Linked DNA regions of Drosophila melanogaster. The gene in region 1 interacts genetically with each later gene. Each region holds a gene or a part of one and is shown on either strand. Other genes may lie near its edges. The genes, in order: Hr51 and Rnb.

Region 1 (8,501 bases):
CTGACGACTGCCGATTGTCTATTTGCTTTCCAGACATCGAAACAATGAAGAAAACTTTCAGTCAAAATGAACAATTGGTGTTCAGTGGAGTGGCAGCGGCAAAGCTGCATAAAATCTGTCAAAGACAACACGAGCAGCAGGTAGCAAATCAATTGGGTGAGCAATATGTAAATAAGGAGCACCCGCAACCCGAAGTGAGCCACCCTAAAATGAGGATGCTCCTGGCATGGGTTTACCGACGTGGGAAAGGGTTAAAGGGCGCACTGATCGGGGCCACGTGTTCCCGGGGCTTTTAAGGTCCTGTTAAAGACCAATTAAACGTGCTTCAGTTCATTAGAGCGAGCTGAGTTGTGATGCGAAGCGATATGATAAAGCAGTTGGTAATACGCACCGTCCTTGTTCATTCCCATTTGAAGGCACTTCTTGAGCCTGCAGGCCTGGCATTGATTCCGATGAGCTTTGTCCACCACACAGCGTCCCGTTCCCGCCTGGCAGCTGAAATGGTAAACAGAATCGATTAAAATAGTGCCAGGACATAATCAGGTTATCCTGATGAGCAGCTAACAAGATTTCTAGTGTCAAAAATTGCAACATTTGTTGATTTCAATGGCGAACACAAAACCTCAGACTCAGGCCAACCGAGCGGAAATCCAGCCACAAAAGCACTTCTGTATCTGCTAGATACAGGACCTGTTCCTCTCTTCCGTTTCATCGACCTCTCGCCCTTTGTTCTGTCCTGGTGGAACTTTAATCAAATCAGGGCTGAGTGCCATCCCTCCCACTCGAAATCCATCGAAATCCATGCAACCATTTTTAGCCCAGTCATCGCCTGCCCTTTTGCACACTAAGCCTGCGCCAAAATTCAAAGATGGCCAACGCTCCTAGAAATCTCTAGCCGTCCATTTCGTTTCCATTTTATGTGCTTCGTGGCGCCTTGGTAGGAAATCACTTAGCGAAATGTATCCTTGAGATACAGCCCTTGTCTACGTGTGTATATAAAATTGAGGTATTTTGTGTATGCAAATGTTAAATTTTCGTAAACAAATCAAGTAGATTGGATATGTGTGAATGGGCAGCTCATTCCTTTGGCATTCCAAGTTTTGTGTCTCTATAAAAATAATCACATAATATTGCCATTGCCCCAACCATCAAACATCCAGGAATAGACCATGAACGCATTTGTGTATACTAAAACTGGAAAATAAAGGACAGACTTTGGCTTTCATATTCTCTACAAATGATATACTTTTAAGTTAAATTGTCACATAAAATACATTTTTAAAGTAAATGAAAAATATAAGGGCATTTTTTCTTAGCCAATGAACAACAAATGAATAAAATCCATAAATTCCGTAGGCTATTCCTACAACCATAACAAATCGAATATATTTCTAGCATGTCCTTGGAAAATTCCTTTGACCACATTCGAAAGTTCTGATTGGAAGCAATTGATTATAATTGAAAACGGCTTAATGGGGCCACCGGAGACAAGGATATAAAAAGGACCAAGGGCCAGATTGACTCTGTCGCCCATCGGGAAACAAGTCACGTCGGTGAAAATATACACTAGACCTGTTATCCCTTTTCCATGTCTGGAGTGTATCCCTCGTTCACTCATTCCCGTGCAGGGGGAGAATGTTGCTCTATTTCATCCCGTAGAGCCGCACAGAACCGCCCCCATTTTTTGACTTTGTTGCGATTCGGCTTAGTCGATGGACGAAGATGTCGGGAGGGCGGATGGATGCGGGTGCTGGGCCACATTTGGCCAAGTGTTTTGCGCTTAAGCCCTCCATATCAATCTCATGGGACCAGGACACGGATATAGAGATTTCGACATTTGTGATTTACCGAGCCCGCTGGAAAGCCGCAGAGCAAAGCATGCATTACTGTATCATAACTTTATGTTTTTGCTGGCATTGATTCCGTCGTTTTGGATTATGGGATTTTTCTCTCTGATTTAATGATAATTGAAAACGCTCGACAAACTTTGATTCGCGCTTTTGCTTCTCTTCTCTTCTTTTTTTTTTTTTTTGTCAGATTTTGGAAAATTCCCACGTCAAAAGAAAAAGTTTTAAACGAATTCACTTTAAATTCAATTACATTTTAAGCTGCAATCCAGAGAGAGGGGAGCGAAAGTAAAGTGGCATTCGCACATGATGCCATTCTGGGCACAAAGTCAACGCGAGGGCAAATATGCGCATTCAAAAGTTGACGCTCAAATCCCAAAGATTTGAATAATTGTAATGAATTTGCCGGAGCTCCGTAATCCGCCAGACGAGCCTCCGGGCACAGCGGCCCACACCCATCCCGGCACCACCCACTTTTGGGCAAATGTTGCAACATTTAATGGAAATGAAATGGTAATGACTGGATTTGGGAGCATAGTTAGGGCTACACTGAAATAAAACTGGCACCACACATTTAAAATTCACAAAATGGGAGTGTTTGCAGGGGAGTATCAATATATGTATTAATGGTTTAAATTACTCTTTATGCCTATATGGCATAATTACTTTACTCTCTATATGACGTGTTAAGGAAGTCCTTTTTGTTATTTATAGTTTTTATTTCTAATTTGAGGTCCGCAAAATATCTTTCTGTGTGCACTCACCGATAAATGAGTTTCCGCCGCACGCTGCGTTTGAAGAATCCGGAGCAGCCATTGCAGGCTAGGATTCCGTAGTGCTTTCCCGAGCTGGTGTCGCCGCACACCACGCAGATGAGGCCCAGGTTCTGACCCTTAATCCGGGTCATCGATGAACCCTCCGCCGCCGACGAGTGGTTCATGGAGTTGGCTGCCGCTTGGGCTGCCGCCGCCGCAGCAGCTGCAGCGGCACTGTGATTCCAGCTCAGCAATCGACCATTGGGCACGTTTGGGGCGGCGGGATGAGGGGGCGGTGGCTGTGTGGGCGGGGCCACGCCCGTTGATGTAGGTGGAGGCGCCTGTCCGTGCATCGGCGCCGGCGGCGGAGTGTAGCAATGCCGCTGCGGACTGTGGAGTTCTAAAGTTATGAAGCAGATTAGTGAATGGTATCTAAGAGAATCGAAATTGTATCTTTTTGTTATCTGGGAAGTTACTACGGCTTTATTAAGATCATACAGTTGGGTTTATTAGCTCGTATATAGATCTTAAAATCAACGAATTGTGCAAGTGGTTAAAGCTTAGTTGGCGTTTAAATATTAATAAATATTCAAAATTGTTTATAAAACGGGAAAAATAGTATACATAATGTTTAGCTAATACTAGCAGAATGTAGAAATGTAATGTATAATTCTATACAATTTCCGCACTGTAGCTTAACATTTTTAAACTTAACGCGTAATGATTGTCCTTTAGCTATTCTTTTCATCGGCATATTAAATGATTAATCTCGTTCCAGCATAAGACATTTAAAATTTTCGACCAGACTTAAGACCAGTTTTCCCGGTGGTAATGGGTGGTGCAATAAAAAATCACTTATGCAGTTCATATAAATTAAATCCCAATTTGTCAGTTGTACCGGATTGCGGATGCAAAGGACCTGCCGATCTTATCCCTGCGTGGCGACATTGACGCCCTGTAATCCGCAAATATATTTACACATTCAATTAGGGTGCCATTAAGCCAAACGGCTCTCGACCAGAGCGTGCCGAGCAATCTGTGCGCCAAATTTGCCTCGGGGGACGATTGTTTTGCCATCACACCCTAATTTGATTGTAGTTTCCTTACTGATTTTTTGATGCACTTAACCCTCGACGTTCCAAGGACGAGGCTGAGGACACATTTGTAACACTCGCCACTTGGCTGTGCGCTCGACCATTTGGGTTCGTGGTTCTGGTTTGCGTTTGGGTTTGGGTTTTGCTCCTGCTTGGCATTGGAATGGAAAGACAAAGTCAGGCGGCCATTCAGCCGGGACCAACTGGCAGGACTGCGGTCCAAAGCCGGAGGATTAGCGTCATATGCTTGCATTTTCCGGGGCACCGGGGCATCTTTGTTAATTTTATGGGCTCGTTGAAATTCACTTTGGCGCACACAAAAGTGTTAAGGGCGCCGGGATGGCTGTGTTATGAATTTCTGACATTTTTGGCGGCCTGACTCGGAGTCTAATTCAATTTGGTGATTATCGCAAATTGAATTTGCCTGGCCATTCGTGCATGCCATCAGCAAGTTGGGCATCGATTTGATTTGAGTGTCTCCGCAGACAACTGGTTCCTGCAAATTGGTAATTAAAATTGCCAATGTGATTTCCGAGCAGAGCGATCAGAATCCGCTTGTTTCTTTTCATGTTTTAGTCTGGGCATTTTACAATTGATCCAGTCATTTCAACATATAAAAAGTTATACTTCTTAACATTATATTTAAATTGGTCACACAGCTATAAAATAGATTTTCTATTCAAATCGCTAAACTTATAATTGACGTATAAGAATTCGCTTAAAAAAGGAGTCATATCTGAATATCATAAAATGAATTGTTAAAGTTTTTTTTTTGCTAGGAACTCAATCCTTAAAATGTGTGTTAGTTTTCGATATAACATTATTATTTCGGCACTAATTACAACTCACATTTGAAACAATTTTTTCCGTCGGGTAATTAGAATGAAAAAGCTTAAATTTAATTTATATTACGATGCCAGTCGTTTTTTGTAATCTTTGCTTTCACATCCTTTCCGTTTTTTTCTTTAACATATCACTTTTTTTATTTTCCTATCTTATCCGTCCTAATTAATCGTGGGTGTAAGAAACGTAATTATATTTCACGCACAATTTCCCAACAAACGTGATATTGTCCTTTTTAAAATTTGTTGGTAAAGGAATTTTTAGCCACCATTAGGGCCATCTTGTATATTTATTTTTTTATGTATTTAAGTAAGGAAACCACACCTTTGTGTTTACAGCTTAATAAATATATTTCATCACCATACTCATGTTTTTATTAACACACTAATTTACCTTGAGAAGATGGTCGTGTTTCGGAGGAATTTTCTTCCTTATTCATTTTGTTGAGCTTTGGCGGACTGCGATTAAAGATCACACCTCGTTGAAAAGTTTATTAACAATTGACACTATTTGTAAGAATTTCTAAAACACCACTTTTAAATGGCACTTTTCGGGTTCATCGCAGTAGGCTCCATATTAATTTGCAATCGTGGAGAGGCGACGGCAAGTGGACGGTCCTCTGATTCCCGCTGATGAAACCGAACCAATCCGATCCGACGGCGCTGCGAGTGTGCCGCGATGATGATGTTAACGTCTCGATGTACGATTTCAGATTCCGGATTTCAGATTTATCATAAAAGCGTGACAGGAGCTAAACACTGATGTGTCCACTCCAGCAGTCGGCCAACCAGCCAACGGGCCAACCCCGGACTAGGGGGAAAAAACCATATCGCAGGATATAATCCGCGGTCGCTGAGTGGGCAGAGAAGTCCTTGCCGCGCGCGTGTGTGTGTGAGGACAAAAAGCACGGCATACACTGCACACACACACACATAGGAGCAGGAAGAGCAGAGAGCATCGAGCAGCGAGCAAGGAGCAGCGAGCGAAGGATAACCGCACACCACCCACCCACCAACGGAGACTTTTAGTGGCAACTCTGGTGGCGCATTTGCTTGTTGGCTTGCTTTGATTCGTTCCTTCTTGATGCTGCGGCAGGAGCTTGTCCTCGCTGTTAGTGTTAGTGTGTTGGTGTGCGGCCCTGCGAGTGTGGGTAAGCCAAGCCGCAATCGCAATCTCCAATAAACACCCGGCTCTGCGCTCTCTGCGCACACACACAAGCACACATACCAAGGCACTCGAAAGAGCAGAGAACGCCCGGTCGCCATCATGACTCAAAAAAGCTGAGCGACGGCGGGGAGCGGAAACGGAAGTGGGCGGGAGAGCGGAAGTGGAGCAGAGCAATGGTGGCGCCCCACCAATACAACCATGAAACGAATGACGCAGCTGCGCGGCTGGCGCTCGTATAATCGTCTTGGGTTTTGACATTTTGTTTTTGTTTTATAATACCCTTTGTGATGTCGGCGCTTTCGAGCTTGCGTCGTCCTGCCCCTCGATCCTTTCGCTAACAGTTTGGCCCCCCTCTTGACCCTCTGCCAACGACGTCACTCTTGGCCTCGTATTCTAACCGCCCCCTAAAAGCCCCAACTTCCACCCAGAAATTGCCGCCACCCAGTAAACTGTAATTGAATTGAAGAAGAAAATGTTTCTGCTGGTGTCTGTGGGTGTACTTGGATCTAAATCAAGAATATTTAAGTGCACATATAACCAAAAGAGTTTTAAATTATATATATATTATAATATACATATATTATCCTAATATTATAATTTGTTTGTTTTTAAATATTTTTCTAATTTGATGGGTGATTTTATTTAACTTTAATATCACAATCATGTTTCATTTACCTTCCTGATTTTATTGCAACAATTATATATTTATATATTTAGATATAGATATTTAGATTATTATTTGTACAAGAAATTAAAGTAAGAACCAAGGCTTGTATTAAATTAAGTTTTAACGAATTTTAAGAAGCCTCATAGAACCAGTCATTCAAGTTTGTGAACTGTTCGAGAAAATATGCTGAAGACAGAATATATATGCTCAGAAGTGGGTTTTTATATTTTAAAAAGTATAACCTTAAAATATTTATAATGTCAAACTTAATGTAATGTGTAAAGATGTTCTATCTAATGGTCTACGTAGTCTTATTTATGCATACACATTTTTATTTACTCTCTATACATTATAATTTTATGGATAAGAGAGCCAGAGCTAGAGGTGGTCCCGGGTCCACTAATCCAATAATCGATAAATGCTGCTCGCAGGACCAAAACGGGCGGCATGGGGGCTCCGTTGTGCTCCCCGATTTTGTTGTGGGGCTTTTGCCATGCTTAATGCGCCGACATTAACTTTGTAACAAATGAGATGTCGGAATACAACAGTCAGGATCCTGGCAAGCCACAGCCCCTCCCCGCAGCTCCCTCCCTTGCTCCTTTCACCGCTCCTTTCTGCAATCTCGCTCTCTTCGCGGGGGAGAAAGCTAGAGAGCAGCTGCGGCTGGCAGAAGTTTATGCTCGGGACAAAAGTGAACAAATGCAAAAGTCAAAGCGCTTTGCCAGCATGGCCACGCCCACCACGTCGAGGGAGGAGCGAACGAGAGCGAGATAGAAATACAGAGAGACAGAGCGACGTTATCCTGTAACAGACGTGCACGCAGGATGCCCGTCGGTGTGAGCGAGAGCAATGACATCGTGCGAGCAGGACGAGCAGAGACGACGGGGTTGGTTCTTGACATTTGAACGGCGACATTTCGCATCGCCAGGATACATACACGAATACTCGTACACTCACCCACACCGACAAATCTCTGCGAGTGCCACCCACTGGAGAGGGCGGTGGGTGGCAAGCCCTATCAAGTGCAGTGCACTTTATTTAATCAATCAAAATTCATGGACTGCCTCTTTTATTCAACATTCAGACACTTTGTATCTTTGATTTACGTTCCGGTAAAGCGGGATTACAAGGAATTGTATTTGTTAGTTACTATTGTATCTTTAAAACGTAAACGTTTATCTAACATTCTTAGTAACATAGTTAGTTTCATAAAATGAAATAAATATAATAAAATAAATAATAAAAAGTGTACACGAAAGTAAACATGTGCTGCTTATCGGCCAAAATGTAATCTCAAGTTTTTGTTCTATTTTGTTCTATCAAACCAAACACATATATACAAACTGTTTGAGATTACAAATTCACAAATAATTTATTTCTAGCTTATCTATAAATGGTTCTAAGCAAAATATATTGAAATGTATTCAAAAATTTATCACAAATTTAAAGCGTTGAATCGAGGCCATTAATAAAGTAACATTTTTAGCGACAATGAAATTTATACATTTTTTATTGCCCTTGCCCTTTTTACAAGTTGATTATACCACTTATTTTTAAGGCCAATACACTTGCTTAATCGCAGCATTCCCTGCCGTGTCCAAAATTTTGTTTTATTTTTCTACTAATCATTGACCTCAGCGCCATCAAAATTTGGGATTTTCCACAGGGTAGTCGAAGTTGATTAGGAATGTGTGCTTCTTAAGCGGATGTACCTACAATTTAGATTCTGGAATAGGGGAATGTTGAGATCCGGAAAAGTTATTGCTTAAATATATCAAAAAAGCCTTTCCTTTCAAAAGCAAGATACCCCCCAATCGATATCTACTATGACAATATAAACTGAATTAAAATCAATGACAGTCCATAACAGGTAACTAAATGTCGAAACGCAATGCCCACTAGCTTGGGTATAAAAGAAGACACTCTTTGGCATTGACTACAGTTCGAAAAAAAATATCAAGATGAAATTAATGGTGATTAAGCTAATGGTCAGTGAAGTTTACATAATCCTCAATTTATTTACCCTTTAGGTTGTCCTGTTCGCCCTGATGGGCATTACCTTGGCCAGACCGGGATACGACGGAGCAGCAACCGCCCAGTGGGGTTTGAGATCCGTTCCACAGAGCGG
Region 2 (9,554 bases), on another chromosome or scaffold:
ACAAGGATGCGGGAGATCTTTTCAAGATTGGAATGAGATGTTTTCGTCGCTGCAGAGAAGTGATTGCGGTGAAAGTAGAACAGCTGTTGGCGGCTAGAGAGGAGCGAAAAGCACAAAGTTTAGCTACTCCCCCGTAAATAGTTGAATTCGTAATTCATCAACTCCACAGTTTCAGAAATTATGTTTCCTAGTTTTGCTTAAAGTTGTTAGTCCTTTAAGATACATGAATTTAAAAATGTATTTCAGCGGGAATATTTGGACATTTTATAGCTGCAAATAATCGGCTGCTCTGTCTGGCAACGCTGTAGCCGGAGAAGACCTTTGGACCACCCGCGCCCCCGCCGCCAACAAATCAGTTCATTTCCATCTTGAAGAGGTAAGTTCTTGAAACTCAGTAAATTTCCGTAAATTTCATCAATTTTATAACTAATTTGGCAGAAAATGGCGCGTGTTTTGGTTGGAGTTAAGCGTGTGATCGACTACGCCGTCAAGGTGAGCCTGAAAAGTCGCCTGTTGCGCATCTTGTCCCATTGTCTTTTTATCACTTGTTGCGCTCTGTTTTGCGTAATCGCCTTAATTAAGCGGCAATTAAACTAATTCAGGTTACATTTATCATGTCCAGGTGCGCGTCAAGCCCGACAAGACTGGCGTGGTCACCCAGGGCGTGAAGCACTCGATGAATCCCTTCGACGAGATCGCCGTGGAGGAGGCGGTGAAGCTGAAGGAGAAAAAGCTGGCCGAGGAGGTGATCGCCGTCTCCGTGGGCCCGGCCCAGTCGCAGGAGGTGATCCGCACCGCCCTGGCCATGGGCGCCGATCGCGGCGTCCACGTAGAGATCCCGGCCGCCGAGTACGAGCTTCTGCAGCCCATCCACGTGTCGAAGATTCTGGCCAAGTTGGCTCTTGACGAAAAAGCCGACCTGGTCATCCTTGGCAAGCAGGCCATCGACGATGATGCCAACCAAACGGCCCAGATGACCGCCGCCGTGCTCGACTGGCCGCAGGGCACCTTCTGCAACAAGATCGAGAAGACAGACGCCGGTCTGACCATCACGCGTGAAATTGATGGTGGCCTGGAGACAATCAAGACCAAGACCCCGGCTGTGCTGAGCGCCGATCTCCGGCTGAACACCCCTCGCTACGCCACGTTGCCGAACATCATGAAGGCCAAGAAGAAGCCGCTGAAGAAGGTTACGGCCAAGGATCTCGGCGTGGACACCTCGCCCCGCATCGAGGTCATCTCCGTGGAGGATCCTCCTGTGCGCCAGGCCGGCGCCACCGTCGCCGACGTGGATGCCCTGGTGGCCAAGCTAAAGGAGGGCGGCCACATCTAGATGTTCCTCAACTAGAAAATTGTGAGCGCATATTCTACGTTTTTAATTAGTCGAAAGTTATCAGAAACGTGCATTTATCTAGCCGGAGAGTCGGATTTGCTGACAGGCTTTAAATTTCTCTGAATTCAACCCATACCCGTGTGCTTTAAGTGAACTATAAATTGGAATTTATTCTCGTTGTGTCCAGCTCTAAGAATAAAGTGATTGTAAGCTCTGAAATCGTACGATCAGGGTCAGCCAATGGCTGGACTCGTCTATTTTTCCGTCTCCGCGTGCTACCTTTTCGGGAAATGCCGCTCAACTTGGCGCCCAAAAGAGGCGACAGGGTCAACAGCAAACAGCCAATGGTCATTGATTTCTCATTGTTTTCAATCGGATTTATTAGCGGTTAACTTGAAAGGAGAACATTTGCTAATGTGCATTATATAAGAGTACAAATGGCATAGAAATAGTATATATTGTTCATAAAACACTCGACTACAGGCTAAAATCGTTTGTTTTCGTTTTGGACGACCATGACACACAGGCTTATACTATAAAGATATCTATGTGTATAAAATTGTAAAAAGGTCTTGTCTGTAAATGGTCTAAGGTAGATATAGATAAGGGTGGGCCGACATTCCTGATCGAGAATCAAAGAGGCGCAAGTTGTTCTATGATAAGGTTTAGTAGAGAATTTAAAATTTTGAGATCGTCTTTGTTCAGTTGGCAAGTTAAAATTGTCAAAAAATTTTGGCCGGAGTAAAAACCTCTTAGATTTCTAAGTTAAATCGATCTACTCTACCCACCCCAAAAAATATAAATACAGACGAGTAAATGCGACATTAATAAATGTCAATCGAAAGATACTTTGTGCCTAAATAAAATAAAACGGGCAGTGGCACCAATCTCGTCGAGCAATTGGGCAGGTTAAAAAAGTGTTGTATAAAAAATATGCTGCAAGGCCGATAGCCCATGAGGTTCTAACTTAATTGCGACTTGGTTTATCACACACCTCGCCGTACCCACCGTTTGATCCATACCATTAGCCATCAAACCCGTCCGGCTGGTGCCAACTGCTTGTCGCTGAAACGCAGAATGCGCGTCAGCATGGTGGTTATGCAGGGTATCTGCTTCTGCTGGTGCATCTCCGGAGTGTCCGGGGTGCAGGACTCAAAGTCCACGGCCACCCGCTGGCACACGAATGTGAGCAGGGTCAGGATGTCCAGCCGCTTGCCATTGGCCGCCAGTTCGGCGCACAGGCTCTGCATGAACCAGCTGCCGCGGGTGGTGTTGCGCCACGAATAGAATCCAGGAACCGTCGAGTAGGCGATCAGAAAGTCGGCGTGCACTGGAATCTTGTAGCTCATCGAGGAGTCGCCATCGGTTTCCGTCTGAGAACGCTGCATGGTCACTCCGCCATCCAATCTGTCGCCCTGGCAGGCCTGTATGAAGAACAACTTGGGTTTGCCGGCTAGCGAGGGGCAGTGATTGGCCGTGAAGAAGCTCCAGATGTTATCCAGCTTGTACTGTGTGTCCTTGGCGTAGATGTAGCCCATCTCGCCGTGCGACAGGATGGCGACCAGGATGCAATCACTATCGCTGTGATTCTGCGACGCTGCATACTCGATTGTCCTCAAAATGTCCTTGTAGCGGCAGTCCTTGTACACGGTCACTTCGAAGTCCAGCTGCTTGAGCACCCGAGTCAGATTCTCGCAGTCCACATTGGTTCCCGCGCGAGACTTCAAGGTGGGCACCTCGAAGTGCTCATGGTTGAAGATCAGTGCCATTCCGCGGTTCTTGTGGCGCATGTTGTACTCGGCTGCATGGCGGTCGGTGACCATTTTGGCTACATTCTTACGGTAGCTGGACGAGGGTGAGCTGTACCCGTTGGCCAGCTGCCCAATGGCTCCGCTGCCGTAAGGATGCGAGGATCCTGCGACCAGGCCGCTGCTACCCGCTCCTCCGGATCCCACGGAGCCCAGGGCATCTGTGTGATCGTTGGGCTGCTCCGGATTGCCCACCCTGATGCCCACCTGGTCGGCGGATTCTCCATTGTTAGTGGCGTCCATGGCTAAGTTCTCTCCTTGAGCCTGCGAAAACTGATGAGTCACAAGCACTGCGAAACAGGTTTTTCCAAATCTGTGAAAAGCTTGGATGCACGACTTGGGCAAATTAGCTTCGTTCTGGGGAAAGTCCGTGTTTACGCGCAACAAAGACAGCTAGTTATTAACTAATTACTTTAGTCGATTGCGTTTTTGTCTTTAATTCTGTAAGACCGTTGTTGGCAGTTGAAAAACACCAAATAGCGCCTGATTTGGTGATGACACTTCAGCCCTCGTGTCACGATTACGGTAAACAAAGAAAGTAAATAAATATAGGAAAAATTATTAAATGGGTTTTAAAAAATATTAAAATAATTTGAAATTAAAAGCTTGGAGGTAATTTTGTGGGAACTTGTATAATCTACATAAAAAACAGGCCTGCTTCCATTTATTATTGTAGAATCGAATTCGCATCCAAAGCTAAAACGTAAACATCAGTTTATAAATAAGGCAGACCGCTGCTGGATTTTCGAAAAATAACGTAAAATACCGTAAAATACGCTCTTATGCACGGTCACACTCTCAAAGAGGTTTGAGACGCACTGTAGAATTTGTTGAATTGTTTCAATTTGTTTAAAAATTAAGAAAATTACCAATGTTCTGGACACCAGAGCAAGTGGAGAGCATGCTGGAAGTGCTAAAGACCTCCACGGATCGAACAGTCATTTACAAATGCCTGGTGAAGCTGCGCACCGATCTGGTGAAGGATAAAAATGGCATTGTTTTATTTCGCACTGCTGGGGGCGTTCACATCATGGTGGGTTTGGGAGTCACAACGCTCATGGTGGTTTGACAGCCACTGCCGCTCACATAGGATCGTTATTCGAATCGATTTTTAAATCATTATTAATTGCGTCTTCCAGGTGCGACTGATCACCAAGCTGAATGAAAAGATAATGGAGGTGGTACTGAGCATACTGGGGAACTGCTGCACCGACGAACAGTCCTGCATTGAGGTGGGATTATCAGATTACATTTTTATCTTTATTTTGAACCACAACGGTTAAAAAAATTTAAAACTTTCCACTTTAAGGCTGTTGAATGCAAGGTGATTCACCCGCTGGTGACCATTCTGAAGACCATACCTAATCCCCTGATCCAGTGCCGCGCCTGCCGGATGCTTGGAAACATCGCCAAGAGCAAGAAGGCGTCCCAGTGTCTCACAGTGCACTATGCGGCCATTGCACCGGCCATCTGCCACATCATTGAGTCCACCAGTGCGGTGCAGACCCGCATCATGGCATTCCGCGTCTGCCGTTTCCTTCTGGCCAGCAGCCAGTTCCTGAAGTACTTCCTCATGGCCAATGGGTTCCAGCAGCTGATGCGAATTTTTCTGGCCGTGATGAAGAACGAAGAGGCATCCAAGGAGCCCGTTCCGGACATCGAGATGTCCACGCTGATTGGCCTGAAGAGGAACCAGCACCGTGAGAAGTATTTCGAGGAGGTAGCCCGGAATTTGGAGGGTGTTCGCAGTGACATCTTTGACCACCAGATGCTCAAGAATTCCACAAGGAACTGTGACTATGCGCTGCCCAAGGAAAATGAAGCGGCCGTTGAGCTGGCCCTCGAGATTCTGAAGTGTCTGGTCCTGATATCCGCGCAGCAAATTGGACTGAAAGTTTGGGAGGTGAGACTGTTTTCTAAGTTCTCCAAAACGTAGTACATAATAAACATTTCTTGTTAGTCCATTTCCTGGAATACCTCGCTCGCCTCCATTGTGTGCTTCGTAAAGGAGGACGGCGACCAACGGGCCTCTGCCCTTAAAATCCTCTCTAACTTCTGCAAGGATCCCTTCGCCTTCTACATGCTGAGCACTGCGGATGCCATTGTGGCTGCCTGCGAGATGCTCATGGCTGTGAACATGGCAAAGCCACTTAGCGAAAGCGAGAGCCGGCACTGCATCAACATAATCTTGACGCTATCCACCGATGCCTGCAGCCGCTCGAAGATCCGGAGATGTGGGGCACTGCGCAAGCTGGTGGCCATGATCCGGGACTCCAACTCGCAGAGCGAGCGATCATCGGTGAGATGGAAACCAAATCCCTCTTGACATCTGCTATATATAATGGCTTTCTTCATACCCAACAGCTATTTCACATACTTTACAACTTCCAATATGATAACTTAAGCATGGAACTCATGCTGTATGAAGGACTAATGCCCATGTTGGTGCGGGAACTAAACGATTACCTGACCAGCGATGATGAGCATCACAAACGTCGACGAGACGAGAGACTGCAAGGTGGTAAAAAAAGAAAACTGACGGATCCCACAACGCCAGAGACGCTGAGCAAGGTATTTATTTAGCAGCATAGCAGCTAGCATATGTTTACAAGCCACTTGCTAATTATACCCACTTTTTGCACACAAGTTCTCAAAAACCCACGAGACCTTAGGATCGGACTTTGAATCGCCGAGCAGTTCACCTAGGTCTTATCGCACAACCAGTCCCTGCAGTTCGCGCAGCATGTCACCGGTGTGCACAGATCTGCTGACGAATGATGACGACGACAACTATTCTCCGGCGTGCAGTGATGACGACGAAGATGAGGATGACAGCACAAATAATAGCAATTTGGACACAAGAGAGCGGCGCATAGCCGCCAATCGTTCGCAGCCTTCGAATGTTCTGGATATACTGAAACTAATTGAGGAGGGCAGCGAACCCATAGATGATCCGCTGTCCGACAAAGAGGATCTCGAGGAACTGAGCTCGGATGTACCACCGAAACTAGCCCCGTTCCGCAATACAACATGCAACACCATTGACATAATAGAAAACCTTATCTATCGCATCACGCTGATGGTGAACAAGCGAGTGGAGCTGGGAAAGCCAGAGACGCTCGACACTCTGATTAGAGCCATCAAATTGTTTGGATCGAACAATAATTTCCCAAATGCCCTGACAAATATTCTACTGTAAGTTGTCAAGCTGAACTAAGGATAAGCATGTATTCTAATTGCACGTATATCCTTTCAGTGAGAGCCAGTTCTTTGCCCAGATAATAAAGCATGGCGTGGTCCATCAACTGTACCAGTTTACCAAGCTGAAGGAGGTAAAGTGAGCCCATTCATCTAATGTTCATCACAGTTAACACCGCACGTATATTTCAGATTCGCAAAGACGGCTTCGCCTTCTTGGAGACGTTAACCAATGTGGGAGAATCGAATTATGGCAAGGAGGAGCTAGTGCGTCTCCTGCGCTGCGACGATGTGATATCCCAACAGAGAGCCGCCATTTCGGTGGCCTACATAGTTAAAAGCCATCGATTGCTCTATCAGTTCCTGTACGACGGCAATGCGCTGAATATGCTATTCGACATGATGCTGCGCAAGAAGACCGAGGACCACTACGCAGATGAGGCGGCGGATGCGGTGACATCGATGGCGCGATATACCCTGGGCATCGTTATGCCAGAAGCCGAACCAGCGGAGAGTACAGCAGGAATCTGCAACCAAATTGCAAATGATACCGCACCGCTGCACGCCAACTGCGACATGCGATTCCTCGTTGGTCATGGAGCGGATTCCACCTCCATTGGGTTTAATAAGCAGCTGCTCTGCGACACCAGCGAAGTGTTCAACAAGATGCTCAACAGTGATTTCCGCGAGGGTCACCAAGGCGAGATTCAGCTGCCAGATTACACTGCCAGTGGACTGCGCTACTTTCTGCATTTAATCGTGTGCCAGGAGCGGCATCTAACCGAGCCGGATTACCCCGCCCTGCTGCAGGCCTACGAGATGGCCCGCGTGTACATCATGCCCGATATGGAGGCGGTATTGCAGCAAAGACTCATCCAGTACCTGGACTCACACAACTGCCTGCGCCTGCTCGAGTGGGCGCTGAAGAACTACCATGCCGACCTGACGGAAACTGCCATCAGCTTTTATCTCTGCTCCGCGCTGCCCGCGCAGGAAAAGCTTCAGCTGTTCCGGGCAGCGGAGGACTCCACCTATGCCAGCGAGTGGTTCCAGCTGCTCAACGATGCGGTGTTCGAGCGCTGTCGCGGCTATGTCTTCTAGACACCACCACCCAGTTGCGTTCTGTGATCACATTTTGGCGTTTTCCATTCCCTGGATTCAGCTCGTTTTATTTGCCACAGCCCTTAGCCAAGTATTCCAATGTGCTACAATGTATATTTAAAATGTATAGACTACGGATTAATCTAAATCTTCTCCTGCCTGTTCGTTGACTCGTAGGTGGGCATCGCGCAGAAACGCACCGTGAGCCAATCCACTAGCGGAGTGGGGCAGAGCGTAAAGAGCCAGCGATAGAGGCGATATCTACGGGGTTCCTCGATGTACAGAGCCAAGGGTTGTGAGCTGGTCAATGCATCCTTAAACTTTGCCAGCAGCGACTCGTTCCTCAGGCGATTGGGCGGCTTGAAGCCGCTCAGTACTTTCAGATAACCATTGAAGGCCTCGAAGTAAGTGTCGTACAGAGCGTGTTGCTCCGCACTGAAGGCTTCGCGCATCTTCTGAGCATGCTGCTGCTGTCTGGCCGCAATGTTGCTGTCCAGGACGAAGGAGCCTGGTATGAAGTTGACCACCTCCATGCCATACTGCTGCAGCTCCACGCGGAGTGAATCCGTCCAGAAGCGAAGGGCTGCCTTGGAGGCGGCATAAGGACCCAGTGCCGGCAGAGCCTGCAATCCGCAGTGGCTGGTCACATTGATGATCCTGCCCTGCTGCTGCCGGAGCAGGGGCAGCAGTTCATGTGTCAGCCTCATGGTGCCCAGCAGGTTGCAGTTGATCTGCGCCTCGATCTGCTCCGTTAGCTGCCACTCGAATTCCCCGAAGCACATTACTCCAGCATTGTTTATCAGTGCCGTCAGCCGATAGCTGGGGTCTTTGGCCAGTATGTCCCTTAGCTGGCGATGCACCAGGCGAATGGAATCGGGTTCCAATAGATCCAGTTCCAAGGTGTGCATTCTGCTCAGTCCATCCTTGGCCGAGGCTAGGCCCTGCAGCAGTTTAGCTCCTTCCGACTTGATGTTGTGGCAGCAGGAAATCACGGTCATGTGCAGCGATTCGTGGCAGTAAACTGCCATGGAGTGGCTATCGAGATCATTGCGTTATTAGGCTCCACTTGCTCCCGCTTCGCTTAGCTTACCCCAATCCCGAATCGCAGCCCGTGATGAGCACCACATGCCGGCTATCGACCTTCAGCTGCTGCCTGCCCAATCCCAGGGATCGTCGCAGGGCGCGAAGAAGTTGACTGCCGCTCATATCGCCGCTTCTCGAGTAACTGAAACAGAGATCCGCGATTCGTGGCTGCACCGAAAGCAACAGATCCCAAAAAAAACAAAAAAAAATGCAAAATAAGGCAAACCCGAAAATGAATATATGCAGCGTGTGTTGTATGTACATATATACTCGTTTGTGCCATTATCAGACGAGTGGAAGAACACGGCTGCGTTTACCTGCCCTTCAGACTGGTCTTTATGGCAGCAACTAGGTGTTTCTATCTCATAATGTTTTCATAACTTGAATGATCGCATTTTCACATTAGAGCCATTTTCTCAATGAGGTTTACTTCCATAAGTAAGTACTTCAAATCGCTTGAAGAAGTCTGCAGAAATTGAGAATGCAGCCTTTGTTGGTCCACCCTAATCTACCTGATATGTTTACCTGACGACGAGCCAGCCCATTTGCAAGTCATGTGAATCGCTATAACTTCAGAAATAATTCCACAAATCGTCTTTAGGTTTTGTCGGTCTTTTTATTTCTATTTTATTCCATTTCATTTTTAAATTTTGGTGTTTTTCTGCCCTTATAAGTGCATTTATTTGCTATCAATCGGTTTGGTTTTGTATAGATTAAAATTTTGAATATTCTGAGAATTTAGTGTGGAAACTGGCGAGAGTTGCTTTACCTGATCAGCTTTTGTTGAATCGTTTTGGGTTTTTTGATTTAAGGTTGTGGGTAGGTAGATATAGGTATACATAATACATAATTACATATTAAATAATTGCTTTGCTTTTGTCATTTCTTATAAATGGTATTTGAAAATAGCGCAATGTTGCGTTTAGTAAAAATATATTTTGGTTTCTACTGCAGCTTACAGAGTACACAATAAGTATATTTATCTCATTTCACATTTGCTTTTGCTCAATATAAAACTCGCTTCAACGCCA

What was found.
Region 2: of Hr51 (region 1) and Rnb, changing one enhances a phenotype caused by changing the other (phenotypic enhancement), as found in Drosophila melanogaster (one study listed by BioGRID).

The regions. Positions count from the first base shown.
Region 1 is NT_033778.4:15,328,078-15,336,578, reverse strand, and holds the start of Hr51 (hormone receptor 51), read right to left. Parts: upstream 5,255-8,501; 5' UTR 4,979-5,254; coding exon 4,933-4,978; intron 3,003-4,932; coding exon 2,612-3,002; intron 496-2,611; coding exon 392-495; intron 1-391. Other genes in the region: CG8160 (uncharacterized protein), read left to right, coding at 8,335-8,346, 8,404-8,501.
Region 2 is NT_033777.3:29,793,728-29,803,281, reverse strand, and holds Rnb (R and B), read left to right. Parts: upstream 1-3,927; 5' UTR 3,928-4,012; coding exon 4,013-4,174; intron 4,175-4,280; coding exon 4,281-4,373; intron 4,374-4,450; coding exon 4,451-5,044; intron 5,045-5,101; coding exon 5,102-5,440; intron 5,441-5,505; coding exon 5,506-5,712; intron 5,713-5,788; coding exon 5,789-6,336; intron 6,337-6,397; coding exon 6,398-6,473; intron 6,474-6,531; coding exon 6,532-7,440; 3' UTR 7,441-7,583; downstream 7,584-9,554. Other genes in the region: Etfb (electron transfer flavoprotein beta subunit), read left to right, coding at 442-492, 623-1,333; Drice (death related ICE-like caspase), read right to left, coding at 2,365-3,384; sro (shroud), read right to left, coding at 7,584-8,475, 8,531-8,646.